Linked DNA regions of Diceros bicornis minor. The protein of the gene in region 1 purifies or fractionates together with the protein of each later gene. This does not show direct contact. Links are inferred from orthologs where the notes say so. Each region holds a gene or a part of one and is shown in the gene's direction. Other genes may lie near its edges.

Region 1 (7,579 bases):
ATGCTTTCAAACGTGGATGTGAGCAGAGAAGAAATAGAGGACTTCTTCTTTGACTGGAGAACTCATTTTACAAGGCCAGAAGCTGCCCCTAAAGCAAAGGTAGCCCTGAGTCTCTCTTATATTGCGAGGACCCTCAGGGCCGGCCCAGGACTCTGAAACTGCCCTGAGTCATCCTGGTGGACCGCCAGAACCGGGCAAGGCGCCCTGCTCTTGGCAAGATGCCCTGGCAGAGCCTCTTCCTGCTCTGGCTTCTGAAAAACTAGAGGTAAAAAGAGAGAGTTGGTGCCACCTGGAGGGCAAGAGTGGGTGCCTCAGATGAAGGCTGGAAAAATTCTTAGAACACAATAGTTCTTTTAGCTGGGGGCGTTGGGGTGGGGGTGGTTGTGGTGAGGGTGGTGAGAAGGTACCATAGAAATAATCTCTGCTTTTTTTAAATTAAAATTTTATTGAGATAATTGTAGATTCATGAGCAGTTGTAAGAAATAATACAGAGAGATGCTGTGTACTTTACCCAGTTTCCCCCAATGGTAACGTCTTGCAGAACTATAGTATACAGATCAACGGAATAGAAGCAAGAGTCCAGAAACAAACCTATACCTTATGGTCAATTGATTTTTGACAAAGGTGATGACACAATTCAATAAGGGAAAGAATAGTCTTTTCAACAAATGGTGCTAGGACAACTGGACATCAAGAAGCAAAAGAATGAAGTTGGACCCCTATCTCACACCATATACAAAAACTAACTCAAAACTGACCAAAGACCTAAATGTAAGAGGTAAAACTATAAAACTCTTAGAAAAAAACATAGAGATAAATCTTCATGACCTTGGTTTAAGCAATGATTTGTGTGTGTGTGTGTGTGAGGAAGATCAGCCCTGAGCTAATACCTGATGCCAATTCTCCTCTTTTTTTTTTGCTGAGGAAGACTGGCCCTGGGCTAACATCCGTGCCCATCTTCCTCTACTTTATACGGGATGCCGCCACAGCACGGCTTGACAAGCAGTGCATTGGTCCATGCCTGGGATCCAAACCTGTGAACCCCGGGCTGCCAAAGCAGAGCATGCAAACTTAACCACTACGCCCCGGGGTGGCTCTGAAGCAATGATTTCTTATATATGACACCAAAAGCACAAGCAACAAAGAAAAATAAATAAATCGGACCTCATCAAAATAAAAAACTTCTGGGGGCCAGCCCTGTGGCATAGTGGTTAAGTGTGTGCGCTCTGTTGCTGGCGGCCTGGGTTTGGATCCCGGGTGCGCACTGATGCACTGCTTGTCAGGCCATGCTGTGGCGGCGTCCCATATGAAGTGGAGGAAGATAGTCACAGATGTTAGCCCAGGGCCAGTCTTCCTCAGCAAAAAAGAGGAGGATTGCCATGGATGTTAGCTCAGGGCTGATCTTCCTCACACACACACACACACACACACACACACACACACACAAATAAATTAAATAAATAAATAAATAAAACACTTCTGTGCTTCAAAGCGCACTATAAAGAAAGTGAAAAGACAACCCATAGAATGGGAGAAAATATTTGCAAATCCTATATCTGATAAGGGTCTAGCATCCAGAATATATAAAGAACTCTTACAACTCTAAGGTAAAAAGATAAGTAACCCGGAGCTGGCCCTGTGGCACAGCGGTTAAGTGCGTGTGCTCCGCTTCCGTGGCCCTGGGTTTGCAGGTTCGGATCCCGGACGTGCACAGATGACTGCTTGTCAAGCCATGCTGTGGCGGCGTCCCACATAAAGTAAAGGAAGATGGGCATGGATGTTAGCCCAGGGCCAGTCTTCCTCAGCAAAAAAGAGGAGGGTTGGCGTTGGATATTATCTCAGGGCTGGTCTTCCTCACACACACAAAAAAGAAAAGATAAGTAACCCAATTTTGAAACGGGCAAAGGATGTGAATAGACATTTCTTCAAAGAAGATATACAAATGGCCAGTAAGCACCTGAAAAGATGTTCAACATCTTTAACCATCAGGGAAATGCAAATTAAAACTACAATGAGGTACTACATCATACCCACTAGGATGGCTATAACCAAAAAGACAATAACAAGTGTGAGCAAGGATGTAGAGAAATTGGAACCCTTATTGCTGGTGGGAATATAAAGTGGTGCTGATGCAGTTTCTCAAAAAGTTAAATATAGTTATCATATGACCCAGCATTTTTACTCCTAGGTATATACTCAAGAGAAAACATACGTCACACAAAAACTTGTACACAAATGTTTGAAACAGCATTATTCACAGCCAAAAAGTGGAAACCCAAATGTCCATCAACTGATATATGGATAAACAAAATACGGTACATCCATAAAATGGAATATTATTCAGCAATAAAAAGGAATGAAGTACTGATTCATGCTACGACATGGACAGACCTTGAAAACATTATGCTAAGTGAAAGAAGCCAGACACACAATAGGCCACATATTGTATGATTTCATTTATATGAAATATTCAGAATAGGCAAATCCATAGAGACAGAAAGTAGATTCACAGTTTTGGGGGTATCAGGAAGGAGAGTGAGGAATGGAAAAAGACCGCTAATGCATACAGGTTTCTTTTGGGCATGATGAAAATGTCCTGGAATTAGTGATGACGGGTACACAGCTTTTTGAATATACTAGGAACCACTGAATTGTATACTTTAAAAGGGTGAATTTTATGGTATGTGGATTATTTCTCAATTTTTAAATACTAGTAAAATTATTAAATACTATCATAACCAGGATATGGATATTGGTACAACCTCCCAATCGTCTTAAAATGTCCCTGGTTTCTCCTGTACTTTCAGTGTTCTCTGTTTCTACAAAGGACTTAGTGATTATCTACAAAGGACTTAGTGACTATCACGAAGAATGTATATTACATTTAAAAAATAATAAAAACCCTACAATTATACATACTTAGAGCTGGAGTCACAACACACAATTCTCATTCTCAGAAAGGTATTGTCAAAATTGTCCTTGGTATCTAGTTTTATAGAATTAATATCATAACAGGATATTTTAACCTAACACAACTCATCTGTATTTCATCATCTTAACACAACAATCCAAATCTCTGGGGTTCTTTTCTGGTTTTTAACCACGAGGCATCTTTATTTCACCTTAATTATGAATACTTTTACACTCTGCTTTTCTTGTTTAATGTCTCATTTATTATAAGAAGTTTGCATATTGCCTCCCAAGTGGTCAGAAATTCATTTATCCCTTTATAAAGGGTGTGGAATATTTCATCCAATAGACATACCATAATTCCCTTAATCATCCCCTTATTGCTGGGCATTTAGAGTGTTTTCAATTATCTTGCTGCAAACTGCTGCAGTGGGCACCTTTATTTTCTTCTTTTGGATGATTTCCCCGGATAAGGGGTGGGGTTTCTGGTTAAAGATTTTGAACATCTTTCCGGCTCTTGACAATTTCACGTTGGCACAAGATCTCCTCTCCCCATCCCCTGCTTTTCCCCAGCCACCAGACTCAGCCTCCGCAAAGTCTGACCCCAAAGGGTGGCCCCTCTGCCATCACCCCTCCTCCCACTTTGCTGTCACCCCCTTCTGCTTCACCCGCCAGCCTCTGCCCCCGCCTCCTGCCGCGCCTCTCCACCTCTGGCTCACCAGGGCTCCTTCTCCTCGTCGCTGGGCTTCAGGCTGCCCTCTCCCCAGGAAAGCTGGTGCCACGCGTCGCAGCGCTGGGTCATCCTGACTCGGCTTTGCCGTAGCAAATGCAATTTGGCACGTCTGCACGCACCGTCCTTACCTTGGCCTCGAGGTGTTCTGCGTAGGTCCCCAGGAAGATACACCCTGCGTGACGTTTCGTTTTCCCCTTCCAGTCCCTTCCTGTCCCCAGCGCTAAGCGGCGGATCTAGTAAGGTGCTCGATAAATACCCAAAAAAGCAACATTGAAGTCTCTATGCTGATCTTTTATTTTAGTTGGATTCCTGAAAGTCAACAAAATACAAAACAATTTGCACCAAGAGCAGATGTGATAGGGAGTGGGCAGATATGAATTATAAGAGCAAGTTCATGCATTAATTCGCTCAAGAATTTACTGAGCACCTGCTACATGCCAACGTCATCCACGGCAGAGAATAAAAGACAATAAAAGCAATAAAGTAAGAATACAGTGTTAGGTGGTGATTCGAGCTAGGAAAAAAAATCAGGCAGGAGAAGGGGACTGAAAGTGAGGAGTGGCTAGCGAGAGCTCCCGAGAATGTGACAATAATAACAACCACAGGTATCATTAACTGGGTGTCTGCTCCGGGCCGGTGTGCTGCGGGGCCTCACCTCCGAAAGCCAGTTTAAACTCCCGCCACAACGCAGTGAGGCAGGGACGACTACTACTCCCACTGTACGATAAGGGGGGCTCAAGGCGCAGAGTTAGGGTGCCCAGTCTGAGGCCTCCACCTGCCTGCCGCCCCCCCCAGCCCTCGGCCCCGGCTCCCCAGCCTCCCCGGCCGGGACAGGGTTAACGTCGGACGGGGCTGCGCGTCCGGAATATGCGCGTGCGCAGAGCTCAGAGTGCGCGTGCGCAGAGCGCAGGGCTACGTGGCCAGCCGGAAGTGGCCTGTGCGGAACCGCCGCAGTGTCTCTGTTGGTCGCTGCTACGTCCCAGGACAGAGTTACTGTGTTGCGCCCTCGCCGGCACCACCATGCTGAAGAAATTCGACAAGAAGGACGAGGAATCAGGTGAGGAGTCCCATGCCTGTGCTTAGGCCTAGGGGAGGCCGGACCCCCGCGCAGGCTCTCAGCATCCTCCCTGGGAGCCCTCCGTTGGGGCCTCTGTCCTATCCGAGGCCGAGGCCCAATGAGGGGGCCCCCTCGGCAGGGGCATGTGCGAAGGTCCACCGCTGGTCAGTGGCAGGCCTCGGAGAGCCCGAGCATGCTCCACGGCCCTTCCACTCGCAAGCTTGGGCTGCGATTCTCTGGGTGACCATGGGCGCGTCACGCGCCTCTCTGGGCCTCAGTTTCCCCATCTGTCAGGGGAGGGGACCGAGCCAGATGCTCCTTTGTTGTTTTCTCCATCCGAACTCTTGGGATTCGCCGGGGCTGCGTTGGTGTTGTCCAAACTGGGGCGCAGTCTGCGGAGCCGGTGTCCAGTGGCTGAGAACCCTGACTCTTTCATTCTTTTACTCAGCAAACGTATGTTGAGTGCTTACTGCATGCCACGCACGGTATTGTGTCCTGATACTGCAGTAGAACAAGTGAGACACTCAGTGCTTGAGCTGGGAATTTTAGAATGATAGCAGGCATAGTGGAGAAGGCAGAGATGGATCAGATAATCACACATGTAATTAATTACAAATGTGACACGTGCTGTGAAGGAACCCTAGTTACTGGGGAGATGGTGGTCCCTGCACACAGTAGGGACTCAGTTAGGTACCAATTGCATAAATGAATGCAAAGCAGGACACTATGAGAGGAACAGAAGGATGGTCCCAGGGCCGCTAGGTGACTGTGAGTAAGTGGTTTGGGGTAGAGTGGAGCCCCCTTGCAGGAGAGCTGTTGTATCTATAGGCAGATTGTAAAGCTTTGATTGCCATGCCAGAGGAGTTGCAACTTGACTAGGTAGACGATAGGGACATCTTGCTAGAATTCAGGGTCATAACCTGAATTTGGTCTTCTCTGTTCTCTGACTGTAGGTGGAGGCTCCAACCCATTCCAGCACCTTGAGAAGAGTGCAGTACTCCAGGAGGCAAGTGTCGTTTGCTCCCCTGTATCTTCCATCATAAATGTTCATGATTGCATAAATGTTCATGATTGATGCGATCGAAATACTAATACATTCAAACTGCTGGTTTAAAAAACAATAGGAGAGAAACCTGTTCCTGGAAAGACAGAAAAACTTTGTTCCTGAAGAGAGTTCGTTATGCTGACACTTTTGTTGTTGTTGTTCTTCATTTCTCTTTCTAGTTAACAAGTGTTTACTAGTATCTGTTAGTCAATAAGTCAGCGCATTCCTAATTAATATTTAGGGAAGATTTCAGGAGTTGTTAATAGATGAATTAAGAGGAAAAAACCAAAACTCTTTCCTTATGAGAATAAGCTTGTCTAGGCAAGTGTATTTATGTATTCCAGGTCTTCTCAGACATTGAATGTGCTTGAGGGGAGTCAATGGAAGGGAAATAAGTTGGGCTGGAGGTTAATATCCTTGGTCACTTCTTCTCAGGCCCGTGTATTTAACGAAACTCCCATCAACCCTCGGAAATGTGCCCATATCCTCACCAAGATCCTTTACCTCATAAACCAGGTAACAGGGTGAGACTTGAGGTTGGGGAAAACGGTATTGGGGGATGTTGGGAGTTGCCTAAGGGCTGTTTGACAGCCACCGTGTGGTTATAACCAATGGCCCAGCTCTGGGTCCCCTCAGCGTCCAACTCTGATATGTTGCCTTTAATGGAACCTCTGCACGGTCTGAGGATCCATCCTGGGCTGATTTGGCAGGAAGGGCCTTCTGGCCCCTTTGTCCCAGGCTGAGACTTCTTTCTTGATTAAAATAGGGGGAGCACCTGGGGACCACTGAAGCAACGGAGGCCTTCTTTGCCATGACCAAGCTCTTTCAGTCCAACGATGTAAGTGCCCCACCCCCAGATTTCCTCAAGAGGGGACAGCTGTGACAGGGTGGTGGGAGGGCCAGGGGAAGGTGACTCCATCTGTCAGTGTGGACTGCCTTTGTGTCGATTGGAGTTTTCTTTTCCTTTCCCTGGCCCTCATGCTGAGCCAGGGGTCATAGGGCTTTTCCCATCTCTTTTCCAGCCCACCCTCCGTCGGATGTGCTACTTAACCATCAAGGAGATGTCTTGCATCGCAGAGGATGTCATCATTGTCACCAGCAGGTGAGTCTTGGGTCTGTGGATGGCTCCTCTGATGGGTTCCATTGATACAGAGGCCATTTTTTGCCATGTGTACCAGGTCATGAGACTTTTGTTTGACATATTGCCAGGCACCCTTTCCTCTTCTGTCTCCCTCATCCTTCAGTTACTGCTGTCCATCCCATAGCAGCCTCCAGAGTGTGTGCTGTTTCCCTTTTCATTCTCTGGTCTTAACTTGGGAGCAAACCCTTCATTTACTTGATTCCTCTTAGTCAACTGAGCCAGCGTGGAACTTTCACAAAGACTTTAGTGAGTGTTCAGAGAGAACACAAGAAAAACAGACATAGAGAATGCAAGAGTATACAATTAGGCTTGCTTACCCAGTACTGGTTTCTGCATTAGGCTGAGTGATTCAGGGGACAGATGTGACTGAGGTATAGTCCCTCCCCTTAAGAACTGGGGCTTAATTCTCTTATTTCTTCCTGCAACATGTTTTGTGGGGGGATGTTATATATTCACTTGTAGGTCTATTTACAAAATAGTTATTGAGTGTTTACCAGTCCCTGTGGGTAGCTCTGGGAATAGAGCAGCAAACAAGACAGACATGGCCTCTGCAGCCCCAGAATTTACAGAGAAATAAGCAGGCAGTGGGCCCTTAAGATTGAGTAGATTACGGTTTATTGTGGGAAGTATGATGGGCTGTGAGAGCAGACCACGGGGCTCCCCAACTTGAATTCGGATCAGGAAAGGCCTCCT
Region 2 (7,246 bases), on another chromosome or scaffold:
TGTGTTGATATTGATTCTCATCATTTCTGGGGACTTAGGTTTCCAAAGACCCTAAGCTGGTCACCCCCAGCCAAGAGCCGACTCATCTATTACCCCAGGACGCCCTACAAATATCATCCATTTCTATATGTGCCAAGATGCCATACAAATAACATTTTCTATGTCTCATGACATGACAAAGATTGGGAAGCACTGCACTAGAGGATGGATGATCTCCAGTCCAGAATGACTTGAGTTCTATGTAGCAATACCCCTCAAGTCCCCAGTGATCCATATAGAGACATTCTAGGGTCTCCCCATGAGTCTTATCCCCACTCAAAATTGGATGTGTTATTCATAAACTGTTTTAGAGCAGTAGTTCTCAACCCTGGCTGTGTATCAGAATATCACTCTGGAGTTTTAAAAAATACAGATACTTGGGCCTTACCTCAGATTTATTAAATTAAAATCTCTTAAGGTGAGGCCCAGGTAAGTGTTATTTTCAAAACAGGCTACATGTGGTTCTTTATTATACACAGCCAGGCATGAGAATTATGGCTCTAAAACCAAGGTACTGAAAACTTATAACCTGCATGAGACAAAAAGCGTAAGTACTTTTAGACTGCCAGCCAAGTAGAATTTTTCTCCCACGGGATCTGGTAAAATCTAGACATGGAAGCAGATCCTAAACATTGAACTATGTCTTATATATAGTAAATACTTAATAAGTTTATGTTGATAGTGATGATAATAAAATATAGAGAAATATCAGAATCTGGAATAACTTTAGTAAAGATCTAGCTACCAATGGCAGTCCCAAGTAAAACAAAAGACAACAGTTATTGCCACAGCATTTAAAACACAGGAAAAGGAAAAACTAGTCTGGCAAATAAAAAATATATAACTTCAGCTTCCAGGAGGACAGGAAGACAAGCTATGACACTGGACTGAAAAAATCTGGATTCTAATCTGGATTCCAGTTGGTAACTGTGTAGTCTTAAGTAACTTGCTTACTTTCTCTAGGGCTTCAATGAGGAGAAGCTTTTCCACCCCTATTCATCTCAGACTGTGCGGACAGATTAAAAAAGGAAAGAAAGAAAGGAAAAGAAAAGAAAAGAAACCCACATATAGCCCCCTTTGGGCACTTTAAAGGGGTCTAATAGAAACAGAGCATTATAATCAGAAAATCAAACCTGGGTCTTTTTCTCCTTAATTTTATCATGTTAGAAACCCTAAGTAAAGAGGGTATAGCTTGCTCAGGATGGACAAATACGATGAAGTAAGACTTAGAAATAAGTAGGTTGAAAAGGAAACAAGATCTTAATGAGGAAGTGGCCAGAGTCCAGCCCCTCCCCTCTTGTTTCTCTGTACTGGCACTTGGCTTTATCTCTAGAGGCTATTGCTTTGCTTCCCACAGGGCTGCTGCTCTAAGAACATGCAGCAGAATGACTCATTCTCAAAGAGGATATCTTAGAGCCCAGCTCCAGGAGGATAGGGTCGTAGCCTTTTGCACGAGAGTGGGATTCCAGCAAGACCAATAGTCTGATCTCAGCCCACACTGGACATGGCTCCCTTCTCCTCACAAACCCAGTTTAAGAACTAAATCCAACAAAAAATTTTATTTGGAACCAGTTAGCCTACTCTCAGTACTTCCTGTAACAGGGACGCGGGGCAATTAACATAGAGTATAGCTCATGGAAGGAAGCGTAGAAAAGTAGTAACTGCCACCTTGAGCGAGTCCTTCACTTCCCAGTGCCTCAGTTTTTTCCCACGAAATTGGAAGGTTTCACGCAATCATACAGTACTGCTGAGACCACACTACTTACTCAGCATCATCAATCAACATCTATTAAAGGCAGTTCAACTTTCAGCTTTGTGCAGGTATATTCTAACCATTTTTATAGGAGTAAACTGAAATTCAGAGGTGACCTATTTGAGGCTGAAGCAGCCAAGAGCTGAGTCTAAGTTTCCTGCTTACCTGCAAACTACATTCTGACAGAGCAACTAGCCACAGAAGAACAAAATCTGAAGAGAGCGGGTTAAGCAGCAGAGGAACCAGGATTCAGCCTTCAGATCACAACTTTTTCCCCTTTTATAGTTTTATAACCATGTTGTCATGGTACTCTGTTTTGGAACACCTTTACAAAGCATAAAGACAAATCTAAATGTTTCACTAATTCCTCTTGCAACAATTTGGCTTTCTCAATGCCTTCCCTTCAAATAGTTTACTGCCTTAAAGAAGCCCATCTTGGTTCCAAAAAGATCATTCAGAGTACGGATGATGACTGGACTCCACAGAATACGAGACTTCTTTCTGCTTAGGAAACAGTATAGTTTGCTACTTAACCTACTGGCTGGTTAAAACTTGGACCACCAGGGCTCACATCCTGGCTTCATTACTTATTGTCAGGATGATCTCGGAAGTTCCTCAACTTCTCCAAGTCTCAGTTTCATCATTTGTAAGATGAAGATAATAATAGAACCTACTTCATGGGGTTGTTGTGAGTTAAATAACATGCACGTGTAAGACACTTAATATGCAGCATTCACTAAATGTTAGCTCTTATTATCTTGCCTGGTTTGACAAATGGTTCTCTATTACCTCCAACCCACATAGCCTAATTTGTGTGTGCAGACTCCCAAGCAGGACTTGGATCTTTATATCTGGGGCCGACTGAAACATCAACAGTCACAAACACAAATCCCAACCTCAACTCACACTGGCAGCCAATCTGATGAGTGGCGTTGAGCAGACGAACACAGGGAGCTGTTTTATTTAAGGGGATGTAGATCTTCCTCTCCACTGAGTTTCCCCCACACAAACCTGATCAGAAGATAAAACGTGTTAGAAGAAAACAAGAGACATTGGTACCAGCCTCTATCATGTCATTAGCTCGCTGGACTGCTTGGGTATATCATACTTTCTAAAATGGGACTAATGTCCATTCTTCTTACTTCTTGGGCACATTATTGGAAAGATAAATGCACTCAGCTGTTTGCCTCAGAGGGTTACTACAAATTCCACATAGAGCAATTGACAATGAAGCTAAAAGACAGAAAATTTGGTTTGTCAAAGGAAAGGCAATTTAACCACAGATGTACTAGCTTTTGGTTGCACGGGTGACCACACTTCTGCTTTTCTATCCTGTATGTATATTACTAATTAGTTAATAAAAGAGTGCCAGTCTACGAACATAGATTAAAATAAAAAAATCTTTCTGAGACGTTTTTCCAGGAGTCTGAAGAGAACTGGGAGAAACCTTACACCACACACCTGTCAGTTACTCTAACATCAGTAGGTCATCCATGTGTGCCCACAGTGTGGGGCAGCTATAGTTTCTCCTTTGGAGATCTTTAAAAACAATGTAAGTTTGGGGGAAGGTAGGTCAGGGTTATAAACAGGCATGTTTATATTTTAGGGCTTGACCAACTAGAAAGCCATATATCAGAAAATAAATGTGTGTAAGCAAACACTTATGCACATTGTAAATGCCTAAAGTTCCCTGAATCATTCTTTCATGGTCTAAACAGTTAAGAGTACCCATATCCTATCTTTGTCTCACTTGCCTGACGAGACAAACTGAGGCAAAGCACAGAGACGCGGGTTTACAGTGGAATCAACAAACGAAGAAACGAAAATCTACTTTCCTAAGAGTCACACTGCGCACACACACAACCAGGCTGCTTTCAGAAAGTCTAAACGCGCTGAGAAGTGAAGCTGAACTCTGATAATGTCCGTTTTGATTGTAGGTGGGCTGACTGGGGCCACGGGGACAATGAGGCATCTGGATAAAGGGGGAGAGAGTCGGGCTGGAAGTCCAGGAAGAGGCCTGGAGGAGGAAATGGGGCGACATGACGTGCCGCAGGGGAAAAAGGACCTTCAGGTCCAGGCAAAGGGGGAACTTCTGTCGTGGGAACGAAAGAGAAGACGGATTTAGAGGGTGGGGGGACAGAGGGGCAGCGGAAACCAGAAGAAAGACAGCGGCGCTTGCGGTTGGGCCGATCCGGAGGGTTCTCCTTACACTGGAGCTCATGGGCGGGGAAGGCCTCACCTGCCAGTAGGACGCAGAAAGACAGAAGGCGAAGAAAACCTCGACTTCGCGGGTCAGCCACAGAGCCACCCCCCGCCGTGGCCATCTTGCCTCTCGGCTGAGCGGAAGCCTCGGTTCCCCTCTGGTCCAGCAGCGGCCTCTCTAGGCCAACACTGGCGCCGTCTCTGTGGCCCGGAGTTCCTCGGACCGGAAGTTGGTATCCGTGGAGCTTCCGGGAGCCGCTGCTGAGGGGCGCTGACGTGGAGGCAACCGAAGGGCGGCAGGGAGCGGTGGGGCTCTGATTAGCACCTTGGAGCCCGAGGCCTGAAGGATGCTAACCAAATTCGAGACCAAGAGCGCGCGAGTCAAAGGTAGTGAGAAGAAAAGGGGGAGTATGGAGGCTCGGTGTCAGGGGCGGCGCTCTCACGGGGGAAGAGAGAGAGGGTTGACGTGCCGGCCGAATTGGGCCCACCGTACGAACCCCGAGGAAAGTGGGAGGGAGGGAAAGTGGGAGGGAGGGAGGGAGGCTAGGCCTGGCAGGCGGTTCTCCAGTCCTCTCTTCTTTGTTGTGTCCTTGGGATTTGATTTATCTGTAGTGGTTCCCGCGTGGCAGGAGGGCCCTTAGCCCGCTTCCTATTCTTTCCCCTTCCCTCCTCTCCTAGGGCCTGTGCTCCCGTCATTTATTCTTCTGCTCTCAAGGCCCTGTGTGTTGGCTTTTTGACGACCGTGTTGTAAGGAGTGGCCCTGGGGATTGAGGATCGACCTCTACAATTCGCGTCTAAGTCAGCTTTTTCGGAGGCGAGCACTGGCTACTTCTCTTAAGGAGCCCTTGGCTGCACCATATCAACATCTAGTGCCACCACTGGGCTTTATTTCCTACCTGGAAACAGGACATTGAGGCCTGTAACCCCAGTAAAATCTGAGCTTGATAAGGTTGCCAGGTAAAATACAGGAAGTCTAGTTACATTTGAATTTCAGGTAATCAACAAGTAATTTTTTTAGTATTGCTCGTTGTTTATCTGAAATTCAAATTTAACTGGGAATCTTTATTTTTATTTCCTAAATATGGCAACTCTAGAGCTTGAGTATCAATGGATGGGGGTGGAGGGCAAATAACTGAAATCACTGTAGTAGTCTCCTAGAATGGTAGGGTGGGAAAGGCGGGGAAGTAAGGTCTCCTGAGACTTAAAAAAAGAAAACAACAACAAAAAAATATATATATATCTTGAACATTTAATGAGATGTAGCATAGCAAAGTGGTTAGAAACTTGGTGTTTGGAGTCAGATAGGCTTGCTTTGGAATCCTGAAACATCTACTAACAAGCTGTGTGACCTTGGACAAATTGCTTAACATTTCTAAATCTCTATTTTCTCATCTGTAAAATGTGAATAATTAACATTCTCTTATAGAGAGAATTAAAACGAGAAGGTATATGAAAAGTGCTTATTACAGTGCCTGGCGTAGACTCAGTAGCTCAAAAACTGGAGGTCATTATTAATGTGAGAAGAGATTCTGAGCAGTTTTTAAATGTCATGAGAATCTTGATCATGAAGAGTATCCTTAAGAATTCCTGGATGGTTGAAATGGGTCTTCATAATCCTTGAGTTTTCTCTTCTGCTCCTAACTTCTTGTTGGGTAGTAGAGAAAGAAAGTGGGAAAAAAAAGATGTCAGAATATTTGAGAGTTAATATCCATTAATGAGTATTTCTATATATCATAAAGGAAAAAAAACAACCTAATGGAACAGTAGACAATTTAGAAGAATGTAAATATTCAATGAAAGTAAATGAAAATGTTCTCCACTTTACTAGTAGTGAAAGAAATGCAAAAAAAAAAAGTGAGAATACCTTTTTTTCGGTCTTAAGTTAGTAAAACAAACAAAACAACAGATAAGTGATAACCTCTCACATTGGCCAAGGTGTGCAATATGGGTACCTTCAGAAACTTGGTGAGACTGTAATTGATAGTCTTTTTGCAGTCAGATAGTATCTACCGAAATGTTAAATGCACATATGCTATTCCTGAGCAATCCCACTTCCAGGTCTTTAGCCTAAAGCAATAATAATGCAAATAGGCTAGAATATGTGTGGAAGTGTCTTCATTAGGCCCAGTATTCTGATAGACAAAAGTTAGGGAAAAAAACGTAAAAGCCCATCAGTAGAATAATTTAAAAATATGATTCATTTGTACCTTGCAGTTTTTAAAAAGAATGAGGTTATGTTTATATGTACTTAAGTGTAATGAGATCCATGATATATAGTTAAGTGAGAAAAGAAGTTTGCAGAACATTATAATATTATCTCCATTTTAGTAAAGTGATATGGTCTGCATTAAAAATCTGAAAGGATACACTCCAAAATGTTAGCAGTAGTGACTTCTGTGGACTTCCGTTTCCAATCATAACGGAGTAACAGAGACCAGATTTATCTCACCACCTTAAACAACTGCACAACTGAACCGAATGTGGGAAATGAAGGTTTTCAGATGTTGGATGACAGGCAGTGAAGGAGAGTGATTCTTGAGAGAAGGGAATTAAACAAGATGAGTCCTATGATTGTTTTAGCTTACTACCTGGAGAGAGTTTCCAGGCTGCAATATAGGGAGGTGGGAAGAGCCCAGTGGTCTCACTGAGGAGACAGAATTTAAAGTTCAGGGAAGACAAGACAGCTAGAGTTTGCTGGGCAAAATACCAGAGAAGAGGGAGCTGCACAGAGAACCCTGGAGTTCTGCAGGGGATCCTGTCAGGGCTTTGTCTGAGGACTAATCTGCACATGCTTGTGAGGAAAAGTCCCAAAGCCTGGGAAAGAACCACTGGAGAGGAGAAGGTAGAACAATCTCTGGCGCTCACATAGAGCTGGGAATAGCTTGTGTTCCTAGCAGCCAGAATGGAAAGACCTCCTAATACTACAGGGCATCACATGGAGACCTCAGATGGGTGTTGCCTTAATAGTGGTGCCAAATTAGACCTAGTCTAAAGGCTGCTGGGGCCCCACCCTAACAAAACTTAAAAGGAAACCTCAGAAGGATCAGCTGATTCCAGGTAACTTAACTGCATCTTAAAACAAAGCCCAACAATATTTAAAGGAATATAACAAAAATCCAGCACCTAATAACAAAATTCATAATGTCTGGCATCCAAAGAATGAATGTATGAACCTAGGATTAACCTAGCTTTTTCTTTTTCATGTCAGAATTGACAGGAGGTGAAATTATGGGGCTTACTTAGCTTATTGGA
Region 3 (7,153 bases), on another chromosome or scaffold:
AACGTGGACTGCCCCTCTATCCTAGCTCATACTGGAATAGCCTACATCTTCTTGACATCTCCCCAAAAGCTTCAGAGGAGGAGCCGACTTGAACTGGCTCTAGGGACCCCTGGGATTGCAGAGACAACAGCCTGGGTGCTGGTGCGCTGGGCCTCAGTGACACCCTAGAGCATAGCAAATCTGCTGCAGGGGTTCCTGGGGACAGCCCGAGGCCCCTGGCCCTTCTAGTTAAGGGCAGGTCTGAAAAACCCCAAATCCTGGCTCCAGCTTCAGGAGAAGTGACCATGGCGAATCCCTTGGTCTCTCTGAGCATCCTTGAGAGAGTTCTCTGAAATCTCTGGTCTGAGCAGAGGCCCCACAGCACCGAGTCTGGCCGTGTGCCTCACATCTGCACCTTGGCCCCTCTTGGGCCTCCGTGAAGGGCTCGGGGGGGGGGGCCCGCTCAAGCTCACTTGCACGTGTTGGTGAAAATGATGATGGACCAGTCCTCGTGCTCGTCCTGGAAGTTCTGGATCAGGTGGACCAGGTAGGCATCCTTGATCTTCTCAGGCACCAGCAGGTAGCGCTGATCCAGCTGCTCCACCGTGCGTACCCTGGGGACAGGTGCGCCATGTGTCCCCTTCTGCTGAATGGGGCCAATGCCCCGCCCTGCCCACGGGTAATAGCCTCCATTGGGGATGCCCCCCCACCCCCTGCCTGCGCTGCTGCTCTTACAGGGCCTGAGCCTCCCAGAAGAAGGGCTGGTTGGTGGCCAGGCCCTGCAGCTCCCGGAGCGTGTCGGTCAGTGTGGCACTGAAGAGCAGGGTCTGCCTGCGGGCCGGCACGGCCGCCAGGATGGTCTCCAGGTCCACAGTAAAGTCAGTGCAGCCCTGCTCCAACAGCCGGTCCGCCTCATCCAGCACCTGCGGTGCCGGTGGCGGGGGGTGGGGGTGGATCTGGGGTGAGGGTGCTGTCTGGGGCCTGACCCGCCTCCCCCATGTGCCTCCTTCCCTGCCTTGGATGTGAGCCCTGGAGAACTGTCCCTCTAGGTCTCGGAGGCCTGCTCCCTCACCCATCTTGGCTTCTACGTCAGCTCCTCCGAGAGACCCTGCCCCAACCATCTTCCTAGTACAGGTCCCCTCGTTGGTCCCTGAGTGTCCTTGTCACTGTTCCCAAAGCTCTACTGCATGGCCTGTGGGACGCATGTTTCCCAAATAGATGAATCAGCGCCCCAGGCCAACTCACCAGGAAGCGGATCTTCTTTATGCTGAAGGTGCTGGAGCTGCGGAGGTGGTCTGCCAGGCGCCCCGGAGTGGCAATGACCACGTGTGGTTTCCGGGAGAGCTCCAGGGCCTGAGCCACCATGTCTGTGGGTGAAGGGCGAGAGGTGGGGCTGGGCAGGTGGTCCAAGGCTGCAGAGGGCCACACTCAGAGCCTCCCCGAGCCCTCCGTACCCATGCCGCCTACGATGATGCAGTCTTTCAGGCCCAGAGGCTTCCCCAGGACCCGGAACTGCTCTGCGATCTGGTAGGCCAGCTCCCTGTGGGCATGAAGAGGCCGGGTTGGGTCAGATAGGGGTTCTGTGCCTTCTCCCATTCCTGTCTCCACCCGCCGGCGTCTCCTGACTCACCCTCTCCCGTTCACACACCCTTCAGGGCTCCCAGTCCCCTGTGGTCAAAGGCTCTGATGCTGAGCGTTGGAGGCCCGCTGTGGCCCCTGCACCCTCCCCAGGCTGGGCCCCAGATCAGCCCAGGGCCCTGCCCCCCCCCCCAGTCCCATCCAAACTGGCCTTTCCTCCTCCCACGTCCTCAGCAATGGTCTCAACACCAGTCACCAAAGCCTGAGACCCGAGCATCAGTCCCCCCTCCCCGGGGCTGGTCAGTGTCCAAGTCCCCTCCTCTGTGCCTCAGGCCCAGCTCTGCCCAGGCCTCTCCTCGGCCCCTGTCCCCACTTCCTGGCCTCCTGTCTTGCCCTTTCCTGCTCACACACCTTCTGAATCAATTCTAACCTGACATTCAAGGCCCTTCTCAAGCTGGCTCTAACACACCTGGCCCACAGGACCCTTTCTGTTCCCTGCCTCTCAGACCTCTGCATGAATGCACTAGCAGATCTCTCCGCCTAGAATGCTTTCCCCAAACTTGTCCTCTTGAGAGACCTTTTCCATCCATTAAGGCACCCCTTGAATGAAGCCTTCCTCGACGCCCCCTTCCCTGGCCACGCCCTCAACAGCATGCAGCGCCTGCCTCTTCTGTGGCCATCACAGGACTTGTCATTTCAACTGCCACACGTGTCTGCCCAAGAACTGGAGATGTGTTTACAGTCAGGCATCACTTGACAGGAACCCGTTCTGAGAAATGCGTTGTTAGGCAATTTTATGGTTGTGCGAACATCACAGAGTGCACTTACACAAACCTGGGTGCAGCCTCCTACATACCCGGGCTCTATGGCGCTGATCTTATGGGACCACTGCCATATATGCGGTCTGTTGTCGACCGAAACATCGTTACGTGGCAAGTGACTGTATTTCTTGGGCTGTAAGACTACTGATGGCTCCTTTCCGGCAGTGCCTGCCCTGAGGCAAGCCCTGTGCCCAGCACTTTTGGCACACCGTCTTGTTTAATTCTGCAGCACTCCTATGAGGTGGCCTCGATTTCTGTCCCCATTTTGCACATGGGGAAAGTGTTGCTCAGCAAGGTAAAGGCGCCTGCCTGAGAGCACAGCTGGTTAACTTACCCAGGAGACCTGTAGGGGGCTCACCTGGTGGGTGTCAGGACGAGGCAGAAGATGCCATAGGGATCCTCAGACAGCTTCTGCAGGATGGGCAGGACAAACGCTGCTGTCTTGCCGCTGCCTGTCTTGGCACAGCCCAGGCAGTCCCGACCTGGGCAGAGGGCAAAGCAGCATCAACACACTTTAGGTGTAGACGGGTGTTCCATTTGGCACAGTTGACAACAGCTGACATTTAATGAGCAGTTACTGTGTGCCCAGTACTGCCTATGCCATTTCCCCTCCGAACATACTGACAACGTTCCATTGCTGGTAACTGACAAATTCTAGGAGGGAAAGGCCGTTATCATCCCCATTTAACAGAAGGCAAAAATGAGTCTCAGAGATTTGTCCAGGACACACGGCTGGCTGATGCCAGACTAGACTGGAACCCTCATCCATCTGACCCAATATGCCTGCTACTGACCACTACCTCATTTTGACTCCCTTCCAGAGCACCTGAGCTTGGGGAACCTGGAATGCCCTCCCCAATCTGCATCCTATGCTCCCTGTTAATTCTTCCATCTTTATTTAATCCCTCAAATTGTCTCATCCTAGGCTTCTTGAGGGCCCCTCAGTAATGGCAAATTAGGTCGGGCCAGAAGAGTGGGGAGAAGAGCAGTCACGGGACCAGCGTCCTGGATTTACCAGTAATGTTGACAGCCTCAGTTTCCATTTGTAAAATGAAGATAAGTAGTGCAAACTCTACCAAATCTTCCCAGTACTATCGATTAATCATTTATGAAACCCTCCCTGTTCTGAAGCTATAAAAGTTTCAGAGATTATATCACTTGTGCGAGGACACACAGCCTAACACCAACACTGCCCAGTCTGCCTCCGGAACCTACACTCGCCCGTAACGCCCAAGCCTGCCCCACGCCTCACAGGACCGGCGTGGGCAAAGAATGAGAGGCAACAGGAGTGGAGATGCCTCTGGGAAGAGGCCGGGCCACACTCACCCTCCAGGATGGCGGGGATGCAGCCGAGTTGTACGGGCGTGGGCTGCTTCAAACCCAGCTGCCGACATTGTTCCACCAGCCACGACGACAGGCCGAGCTCCGCGAAGCCGGCCATCCTCGCCGCCAGCCCCGTGTGAGCAGCCGTGTGTAGAGGCGCTTCCGGCGCGTGCTGATGACGTCACGAAACCTCTCCCGTTAATTGGATCCGCCTCCTGCATGGTCCCGCCCTCTCCAGCTCACTCTGCCATCGACCGCATCCTTACCATATTTCCCCGAATCCCATTGGCTCGCAGGATCGAATCAAACTACAATTCCCGAGATGCCCTGCGAGACGCACTCGCGTCCCCCGTACCCCCGTTTAGGCGTCTCCCATTGGCTCATCTCCAGGCCGGAACGAGTGAACTACATTTCCCGGCCCCGCGGTGGCCCCCTGCTTCCGGCCGACGTGTCCCTCAGGAAGAAGAGCGGTTGCGACGATAGCGATATGGCGCCTCCCGCCCCCGGCCCGGCCTCCGGCAGCTCAGGGGAGGTGGACGAGTTGTTCGACGTGAAGAATGCTTTCTACATTGGGAGCTACCAGCAGTGCATCAATGAGGCGCAGCGGGTGAAGGTGCGGCCGCTCCGGGCCCGGGACGCTGGGGGCGGGGACGGAGGAAGCTGCCTGGTGGCCGCGAGTCGCGGTCTGACTTTAAGAACGCTTCCTCTTCTCGCGGCGGTTTCCCCTCACGCATCTCTTGAGAGCGCGGTGAGGAGTTATCTTGTCCCATAGCAAATCTCAGAGCAGTAACAGTTCATAGTGCTTCTCACTCAGAGCGCTCGCTCTGCGTCCTGGAAGCATTGGAGTAAGAGAGGCATTTGTATCATGTAGTAATAATGTTCTCCTTTGTTGAGCGGCCCACACTGTTCCGCCAGACCCTCAATTCCCGTGAAGTAGGGACTGCTGTTTATCCTCATTTTACAGAGAACACTGAGGCTCAAGAGAGAAATGGCTTCCCCGGTGTTATCCTGCCCCACTAGCCCGGTCATTTGTCCCCAGACGTGCTTGTTCAGTTATTCATTCGTTCGTTCCTCATTGAGCATCTCTGTGGGCCAAGTAGTGTATTCGTGCTGGGCTCAGAGCAGTGACAAAACAGACAAAACTCCTAGCATTTTCAGAAACCTCAGCCTCTCAAGGGAGACAGACAGTAAAGGAGTAAATAAACAAGAAGTCAAGAGGTGGCGTGATGGAGAGTGGTGGGAATGAGCTTGGCTGTTTGAGAGCTAGAAAATAGCCCTGCAAGGCAGGGCCCAGCCAGCCAGTGACAGGAGAGGGGGCACCAGGGGCCATTAGCAGCAACTTTTGGGGAGGGACATGATGTTACTGACACTGCGAGAGTGAACCATTGGAGAACTTTTAAGAGCAGTGAAATTGGCAGTCTTGCCTGCCTTCACAGTCTAGTGTTCCAAAGAGAGTAAGCAAGTAAAGAAGCTAGTGAATACGTAGTTACAACTTGAGCACTCTGGGGATGGGGGTAGATAAAAAGTGCTGAGAATGGAGAAGGAGGGTGCTGCTTCATGTGGGAGTGGTCAGATCAGGCCAGGCCTCTCTGATTGTCATTTGAACCTGAGGCTGAATCTTGAGAGGCGTCTGACCCCATAAACTGCTGCAAAAGTGCTGAGGCAGGGATGAGCTTGGCGTAGCCCAGGCATAAGGGGTCAGTGTAGCAGAAGTGGGGCAAGCGATGGGGAGGATGAGAATGAGGTGGGCAGGGCCTTGGGGTCACGGCAGGGCTTTAGATTTTATTCTAAAGGCACAGGAAGCCACTGGAGCACCTAGTGAGAGAGTGGCAGGTGTCTTCACAGAGGCAGCCAGAGAGTTGGGAGGAATTTAGACTCTGAAGTAGAGAAGGCTTGTTTTCCATGCTTTTCGCCTTTTGCAGTGTACCTGATTTCCCTGCACGTCATCTGTATAATGGGGATAAAGCCTCAAACAGATTTCAGAAAGCGGTTTGGATTTCTTGAAATAACGTTTGCATGATTGCATGAGTTTTCTGTTGCCGCCGGGACAAATTATCTCAAACAATAGCTTAAGATGACACAAACTTATCTCAAAGTTTCTATACGTCAGAAGTCCAACACGGCTCACCAGGCTAAAATCAAATTGTCAGGTGGGCTGTGTCTTTTCTGGAGATTCCAGGGAAGAATCTGCTTCCAAACTCATTCAGGTTGCTGGCTCTCTGCCTGGGACCACCTAAGTTACCTCCTAGAAGCTTCTCTCCAATTCTCAACCTCCATGTAGCCCCTCCATCTCAGAACTAGCCGTGGGGTTCTCACAGTTGGAATCTCTCGAATTTCCCCTTCTGCATTCCTTCTGTCTGTTAGCTGCTATCAGCTTCTGTGATTGGGCTGTGCCCTCCCAGATAACCCAGCATAGTTTCCCCCTCTTAGGGTCCATAACCTTAATCACAGCTCTGAAGTCCCTTTTGTGACGTGATGTAAGCTATTCACAGATTCCAAGGACTGGTGTGGACATCTCTGGGCAGCAGGGGTGGGGGGTGCCTTATTTGGCTCACCACCACAATTTTATGTGTCTCTTGGCTGGGGTAGTGTGGGCTGCGAGAAGATTGAGACAGACCTGGGCTCAGATTTCGGCTCTGCTACCAGGGCTGAGTCATTGCACCTCTTTGAGCTTCTGTTTTCCTCTCCTGTCAAATGGGAAAAATGATGCCTATCTCATTAGGGTCACTGTGAGATTCAGTGTTACACTCACATTCCACCTTTTGACTTCTACCGTATGTCTGTTCTGCTTACTTCATAGCGATGTGTTCTTTTGAGTCATTATATGCAGACTATACACTGCTGCTGAAAGGGAGAACCAGCATGACCTGCTGCACATAGAGAGTGTCTGAAAATGAAGATATGGAAACCATGTCAGTGGTCACTTTGGCTGGAGGCACACTGCTCAGCCTCTGAGCTGGGGACCTGCGCCCTCTTTGGCGATGTGATCAAGAGGTGCTGCCACCAAGCCAAGGTGTTCTCCCTGAAGCATCCAGAAGAATGGAGCACTCTCCCCCCTGAGCCATTTGATGTGATTTAATTCTGATCCATAGGCCACCTGAACCGTCCTGGGCAGGCTGTACTGGGTTGAGTGGTGTCCCTGAAAAGATATGTCTACCCAGAACCTGTGAATGTAGCTTACTTGGAAAAAGGGTCTTTACAGATGTAATTCAGTAGGATCTCTAGATGAAGTCATCCAGGATTTAGGATGGGCCTTAAATCCAATGAGAAGTGTCCTTCTAAGAGAAAGGCAAAGAGAGGTTTGAGACACAGACAGAGAAGACAGAGGCAGAGATTGGGGTGATGAGCCACAAGCCCAGGAACACCTGGAGTCCCAGAAGCTGGGTGAGGCAAAGAAGGATCCTCCTAGAGAGCCTTTGTGGGGAGCCACGGCCCTATTGACACCTTAATTT
Region 4 (6,960 bases), on another chromosome or scaffold:
AAAAAATAAATAAACAAATAAAATTATTAAAAAAAAATGCTGGTTTTAAAAAATGCTCTTGGGTGGATGAATGAAGGAATGAGTGAATGAAGATGTAAGGAACAAATGTCCCAAAACTATAGACACAGTTAATTTTGGGAGTCAGAGAGAGAGAAACAAAGAAAGGAATATTGGAAATTTGACCCTGAAAACCTGTCAGGGGAAAGCGGGAAAGTGGTTTTAAAAAGAAAACAAGAGACACCACTTCTGAGACACTCTGGTTAAAAATGGAACTGCAAAACATTTAAAAAATTTTTTGTCATCTGTTATTGCTAATAATAATGGATATGTATTGTTAGTGCCATGGAATTGATTCAGGCTCCTAGCAACCCTGTGTACAGCAGAGCGGAACTCTGCCATGTCTTTTTGCACCATCCTCTCACCTTCCAGAGCTATATCAGACAATGCTCAGGGCTGCTATTCATAGGTGTGTGTGTGTGTGTGTGTGTGTGTGTGAGGAAGATTAGCCCTTAGCTAACATCTGTTGCCAATCCTCCTCTTTTTGCTGAGGAAGATTGGCCCTGAGCTGACATCTGTGCCCATTTTCCTCTACTTTATATGTGGAATGCCTGCCACAGCATGGCTTAATAAGCGGTGCAGTCTGTGCCGGGGATCCGAACCTGCAAACCCTGGGCCGCCGAAGCAGAGCGCATGAACTTAACGACTATGCCACTGGGCCAGTCGCTATTCATAGGATTTTCATTGCCAATTTTTTCAGAAGTGGGTAGCTAGGTCCTTCTTCTTAGTCTGTCTGTCTGGAAACTCTGCTGAAATCTGTCCACCATGGGTGACCCCACTGGTATTTGAAATACCGGTGGCATAGCTTTCAGCATCACAGCAACATTCAGCCACTATAGTATGACAACAGACAGACAGATGGTGTGGTTCCCAGTCAGGGAACATGGGCTGTGGCAGTGAGAGTGCCAAATCTTAACCACCACACCCTGTAGGAGCACTTAGATTATACAATTTTATTTATTAATATATTGTTTAACTTCACAACCTTATGAGATAGATGTTACTGCCAATTTACAGATTAGGTAACTGAGGCTGAGGAGAGTTAAAGCAACTTGCCTAAAGTCACTCAGCTAGTAAGTGCTGAAAATGGGAGTCAAACACAAGGCAGTCTAACTCCCAAGTCTCTGCTTTTAAAACCACTATGACTACTGCCTTTAAGGTGCTCCTCATGAAGCATGCTTGCAGGGTGCTTTTCTTCCACAGTTTAATTCAGCTACTATCATATTTCCAAAGAATCAGCATCAACTGGTCTTTCCTGAGCCTCGGTAGTCCATATTGAAGGCCCCTGGAAGCTGCCTCAATAAAGCAATAATTCCAGGCAGGATTTTTACTTTTTTTAAATTAAGAATTTGTTCATCTTTTTAAAAATACATGTGCTTCTTATAACAAAAATAAACAATACAGTTTGACATATATCCTTCCAGACATGCAAAGTTTAAAAATACATGAGCTTTGTAAAGATTCTACTAGAAAGTCATTGGAGATGGAATTGAAATGAGTAACAGTGAGAATTCTATAATGCCGTGCTTAAGGGTACAGGTTCTGAAGTTGAGCAGCCTTTGTTCGAATCCTGGCTTTGCTACTTTCTAGCTCTGAGACCTGTGGTAGAATAGCTTTCTTCTCTGTACCTTGGTTTCTCCACCTGTAAAATAGAGATATTAATGGTACCAATCTCAGAGAATTCTTGTGAGGATTAAATGAGATGATCTGTGTGAAGAATTTAGAGTAATGCCTGCTACCTTGTAAGTGGTCAATAAACATTAAGGAATACACAGGAGATATAGAGAGGCAGTGTGTCATAATGAGAAAAGCTGGGTTTGAACCCTGGCTCTACTACTTACTGGCTGTGTGAGTTTGGGCAAGTGCTTAACTTCTTTGATCCTCTGCCCTTATCTAGATTGTTATAAAGGAATAGGGATAACATATATAAAGTACCTGACATAAAATAAACACTCAATAAAAGATTGCTGCTTATCCATTATTGCAGCAATGGATGTGCTGCAGAGTCGAGCCAGTGATATAGGGAAGAACTGCTGAATCACATATTCTCTAAGTCTGACATTTGGCGTGGGAGAACTACCAACAGAATCAGAAGACTGGATTGGAGTCTTGTTTCCATTATATACTGGCCTACAACCTTGGGTAAATTGCTTAAACTTGTCATCATTTTCTTCATCTACAAAATGGACATAAGCACAGTAACTGCCCTGCTTCCCACACACATTTTTTAAAGATATAATTTACAAACTATAAAAATTCATCCTTTTAGGGGCCAGCCCAGTGGCCAAGTGGTTGGGTGTGCGCGCTCTGCTGCAGCGGCCCGTGGTTCACCGGCTTGGATCCTGGGCGCACACCGAGTACCACTTGTCAGGCCATGCTGTGGTGGCGTCCCATATCAAAGTGGAGGAAGATGGGCACGGATGTTAGCCCAGAGCCAGTCTTCCTCAGCAAAAAGAGGAGGATTGGCAGATGTTAGCTCAGGGCGGATCTTCCTCACACACACACAAAAAATCATCCTTTTAAAGTGTACAATTCAGTGGTTTTTAGTATATTCACAAAATTGTGCAACCACCACCCCTATCTAATTCTAGAACATTTTCATCACTCCAAAAAATAAACCTCACTCGCCATTCCTCTTCTCCTCCAGCCCCTTGCAGCCCTACTTTCTGTCTCTATATATTTGCCTATTATAGACATTTCACATAAATGGAATCATATAAGATGTGGTCTTTTGTGACTGGCTTCTTTCACTTAACATAACATTTTCAAGGTTCATACATGTTGTATAATGTATCAGCACTTTATTCCTTTTTATGATCGAGTAATAGTCCATTGTATAAATATACCACATTTTTTTATCCATTCATCTATTGATGGACATTTTGGATTGTTTCTACTTTTTGGCTATTATGAATAAAGTTTTATGAACATTAGTGTAGGATTTTTTGTGAGGTCTTATGTTTTTAATTCTCTTGGTATATATCAAGGACTGGAATTGCTGGATCATATAGTAACTATATGTTTAACTTGTTTTTTTTTGCTGGGAAAGGATCACCCTAAGCTAACATCTGTCGCCAATCTTCCTCTCTTTTTTTTTTTTCTCCCCAAAGACCCAAGTACATAGTTGTACGTTCTAGTTGTAAGTCTTTCTAGTTCTTCTACCTTAGCGGCTGTCACAGCATGGCAACCGACAGACAACTGGTGTGATTCTGCATCCAGGAACCCAACCCTATGCAAAGGGAAATTGCACAGAACTTTAACCACTAGGCAATCAGGGCTGTCTCTGTTTAACTTTTTGAGGCACTGCTAAACTGTTTCTGAAAGTGGTTGCACTATTTTACATTCACACCAGCGGTGTATGAGGATTCAAATTTCTCCATATTCTCATTGACATTTATTATTATTATAGCCATCCTAGTGGGTGTGAAGTAGTATCTCATCGTGGTTTTGACTTGCATTTCCCTAAGGACTAAGGATGTTGAGCATCTTTTTATGTGCTTATTGGTCATTTGTCTATCTTCTTTGGAGAAATGTCTGTTTTGTCCACTTGTAAATTGGACTATTTGTCTTTTCATTGTTGAGTAGTAAGAGTTCCTTATATATTCTGGATACTAGTCCCTTATGCACACAGGTTATTTTGTATGTTAAATGATATAGTGGCTGTGAGATCTTTATAAACTGTAAGAGGTACCACAAACTAAATGAAAGCTCTGACGAACGGTGAAAAGACAGAAGTATGAAGTTCCACGGCTTGGGGGGCGAAGCCCCTTGCATCCTTGGCGAACCAGCCGGTACCCACAATTTCCCCACCCCACGGCGCCCCGCCCTCCGCCCTTTGACCCGCGCCGTTTCCGGTTGGAGACGTGGCTCCAGGCCGCCATCTTGGCAAGAGGCGAAGCGGCAGCGGCCCCTGTCAGGGGGGTAGCAGGTCTGGAGCGGCTGGTACTGCCCTTCCCCTGACCCTAGCGCTATCCGCAGTGGAGCCGGAGCGCAGGTGCGCACCACCACCGCCCTCACCATGGTAAGTTCCGAGCCGGGTCCAACTCCCGGGGTCTGGCCTTGCTCGCTCGCTCTCCCTGCCGGACGGCTTGGTGCTGGGGCCACAGGAGCCCCGCCCCGAGGGCCTGCAGCCGGGCGCTTCCCTCAGGGCTGGGGGAGCGGCGTGGCCTTGCCCACCCTGTGCCGGGCCTCCCGGGAGATCCGATGGACCCGGCTCCAGTCCCTGTGTCGTCGCGCGCACACCCCCCTCCCGCCCCCGCCCAAACAGCTGGGACCCTCCGGGCCCTGGAACGGGCTTGGGGTTTTTGCGCTGCGAGAACCTCGTAGTGGTGTCGCTTGGACCCCATGCTGCGGCCTTCGGCGCTAATGTCCCGCCCGTTCCATGGGCGCCTGGGCTTAGCAGGCTGGGCCTCTCTCGGGGATTAGCTTCCTTCTGTAATCAGCTCTCCTCCCATCCCCGGTGTTCCGTAGGACATTGATACTCGAACTCCAAATCCATTGGTGTTCAGGACTTTTTCTTTTGTTTGTGAAAGGGGGAAATAGATGAAAGGAGGCATAAAACAGGAAGGAGTACCTTCTAACACTAATCTGTAGGACCCAACTGTCCCTGAAACCTTGCACTGCTTCTCCAGAATTTAGGTGTGTCCTTTTGTCAGTGGATTAAGTATACCCTGTGTATAGAGCACTGGGCAAATGTGAGCGAGTTAGAGAAAACACAGGCTGTCCTCAAGGAACTTACTGTTCCGGTAAAGTAAAATGTGTATGTGGCGTATCGTGATCAGATGTCTCACAGGAGCAGTAGAAACGGGTTATACTCTGGGACCTCTTACTTGGCTTCAAATGCGTTATCTTTGTGTTCTCATCTATTGTAGGGAAAAATTAACGTGGGTGAGGATGGGACAAAACAGTGCTGACTCCACTAAATCTTATTTTATCACTACAATTAGTGGATATTTATGAAGTAGGAGAAAATCTTTGGCTCCAAACGAGCTAGTAATTTATTTTTTAGTGAACTTTATGCCCTTCAGTGTTTTGAAGGATGTTCTTTTCTTTTTTTATTCTCTTTTTGTCAATAGATTAATAATTTGATTTAAAGCATTTTCCTGCACACTTGAGAGATGACAATATAATTTGGTGCCAGTAATGTTAAGTTCTATTGACAACGTTTTTTAGATGAGAACTTAGATGGTGGGGGGGATTCATGCTTGGGCTTAAAACCACTGAAAGGTTTTTTTCAGCTTCAGGCATATAAATTTTGTCAAGCAGGATTACCTCATAAAACTTTTACGTTGGACATAAAATTTCCAAAAACTCCTTTTTTCATTTTCACTAGGAGGCTTAGTATTTGGATAGTGATTTTTAAACTCCTTTTTGGATGTTTTTTACATCTTGGATGTATCTGTAGTGCATTTTAGAGCATGTTATAATTTTAATAGCGAAATTAAAGCCTTATATAAACCAAATATAGATAATCTTTACAAAAACTTTGTATGTTGAAAAGTTCTTGGAACTTAGTATTTTTAATTCATCGATAACTGCGGAATGGTAAAGCCCTAGGTGTTGACTGATAAACATAAAATATAAATTTTGTGTGTTACTCGGACACGTGCATATACATACAGTTGTGTCATATTTAGATATGCATATCTTTTTGAATTATTTAGGACTTGGCATGATCCAGATATCACAGATTTGTGTACTCTAGAGAACAGCTTATCTCAGTACATTCTGCTCTGTTGAATCTTAAGACGTTATTAAGTGTTATTGCTGTGTAATGTTTTTGGGCCCTATTCCTTTAGGAAGAGATCCCTGGACAGTAGAAACGTCCAAATAGGGTGACATTTGGTAAGATTTCTTGCATCTAAAAGTTGTATCAAAACTCCTGAAAGTTGATTTTTCCTTCACATTTTAGTATAAAATTTTCAAACATCTAGAAAAGTTGAAAGAATTTTACAGTGAACACCAATATAACCACCAGCTAGATTCTGTAATTAACATTTCACTATACTTGTTTTTCTCACACATCTAATCATCCATCCATTCTTCTATCCATCCTTTTTTTTAATGCATTTCAGAGTTAAGTTTCAGCTATCAGTACATAAATATTGATTTTTGAAAAATTTCCTTTACCTTTAGTTACTGAAATTCGTGCAAAATGTCCTACCTTGTGAAGTCCTAGTAGAGAAATAAATGAACAAATGCAAAAAGAAATGGCTTATGATGACTTTGTTATAAAATGAAGTACAAAAAAAGGCATCTTTTTTCTAGTTTTCTGCAAATTAATGAGAACATATTCTTATTTTCCTAATTTGTCAGATATCGTTAGAATCAGTTCTTTTTCTTAGTAAACTTACATTCGAATAAACTTGATATTTAGTCTCATGGTAGCACCAATCTGTAAAATCTTTGCTTATCTACAGAGTGCTGTTCTTATTTACTACTATAGGCAATGAGTAAACTTACTGTAGTGGTCAGATTAAATATAAATGATCCCAGTAAGTTCAGTTTCCAAAAGTCATTAGTTATTAGAAAGCTAGATTTGGGTTTGTATGGCAGATCTACACATGACGGGAGAAACTGAAATTCTACACAGTCATAACAGTTCCCAATTAGGGGATTATTATTGCTTGTTTTTTCCCTTTTTCATGTACAATACAGCAGCTGCACAGCTATTGTATTTTTTATTTATCTTTTTGATTGTTGTTTGAAAGGACAGCAAAGAATGAAAATGATTTTTTTGAGTTTTCCTTGATGGCCGTCTATTTATTCTCTGAGTAGGAAGTACACTGCAGAAAGTGAGAACTATGTCCATTTATTTTTATTCACTACAAGCTTGTGTTTTAGAACAGAAACTTGTGATAAGCTTAAAACTCTCACTGAGTAACTTTTCAAGTTTTAGGTTTT

Evidence for each region.
Region 2: the proteins of COPG1 (region 1) and COPA purify together in Homo sapiens (affinity purification with mass spectrometry; 6 studies listed by BioGRID and IntAct, counting the BioPlex papers as one, with this or other methods). This does not show direct contact. The link is inferred for Diceros bicornis minor from reciprocal best matches to the Homo sapiens genes COPG1 and COPA.
Region 3: the proteins of COPG1 (region 1) and COPE fractionate together in Homo sapiens (co-fractionation; 6 studies listed by BioGRID and IntAct, counting the BioPlex papers as one, with this or other methods). This does not show direct contact. The link is inferred for Diceros bicornis minor from reciprocal best matches to the Homo sapiens genes COPG1 and COPE.
Region 4: the proteins of COPG1 (region 1) and ARCN1 purify together in Homo sapiens (affinity purification with mass spectrometry; 6 studies listed by BioGRID and IntAct, counting the BioPlex papers as one, with this or other methods). This does not show direct contact. The link is inferred for Diceros bicornis minor from reciprocal best matches to the Homo sapiens genes COPG1 and ARCN1.

What each region holds. Positions count from the first base shown.
Region 1 is NC_080741.1:89,473,945-89,481,523, forward strand, and holds the start of COPG1 (coatomer subunit gamma-1), read left to right. Parts: upstream 1-4,578; 5' UTR 4,579-4,663; coding exon 4,664-4,700; intron 4,701-5,653; coding exon 5,654-5,706; intron 5,707-6,180; coding exon 6,181-6,261; intron 6,262-6,511; coding exon 6,512-6,583; intron 6,584-6,767; coding exon 6,768-6,847; intron 6,848-7,579. UniProt on the Homo sapiens protein: The coatomer is a cytosolic protein complex that binds to dilysine motifs and reversibly associates with Golgi non-clathrin-coated vesicles, which further mediate biosynthetic protein transport from the ER, via the Golgi up to the trans Golgi network.
Region 2 is NC_080743.1:65,001,500-65,008,745, reverse strand, and holds the start of COPA (coatomer subunit alpha), read left to right. Parts: upstream 1-4,240; 5' UTR 4,241-4,341; coding exon 4,342-4,381; intron 4,382-7,246. Other genes in the region: NCSTN (nicastrin), read right to left, coding at 2,699-2,803, 4,032-4,116. UniProt on the Homo sapiens protein: The coatomer is a cytosolic protein complex that binds to dilysine motifs and reversibly associates with Golgi non-clathrin-coated vesicles, which further mediate biosynthetic protein transport from the ER, via the Golgi up to the trans Golgi network.
Region 3 is NC_080759.1:6,465,258-6,472,410, reverse strand, and holds the start of COPE (coatomer subunit epsilon), read left to right. Parts: upstream 1-4,137; 5' UTR 4,138-4,188; coding exon 4,189-4,314; intron 4,315-7,153. Other genes in the region: probable ATP-dependent RNA helicase DDX49, read right to left, coding at 453-593, 715-902, 1,225-1,346, 1,434-1,519, 2,737-2,860, 3,705-3,819. UniProt on the Homo sapiens protein: The coatomer is a cytosolic protein complex that binds to dilysine motifs and reversibly associates with Golgi non-clathrin-coated vesicles, which further mediate biosynthetic protein transport from the ER, via the Golgi up to the trans Golgi network.
Region 4 is NC_080746.1:18,320,115-18,327,074, reverse strand, and holds the start of ARCN1 (coatomer subunit delta), read left to right. Parts: upstream 1-3,945; 5' UTR 3,946-4,075; coding exon 4,076-4,078; intron 4,079-6,960. UniProt on the Homo sapiens protein: Component of the coatomer, a cytosolic protein complex that binds to dilysine motifs and reversibly associates with Golgi non-clathrin-coated vesicles, which further mediate biosynthetic protein transport from the ER, via the Golgi up to the trans Golgi network.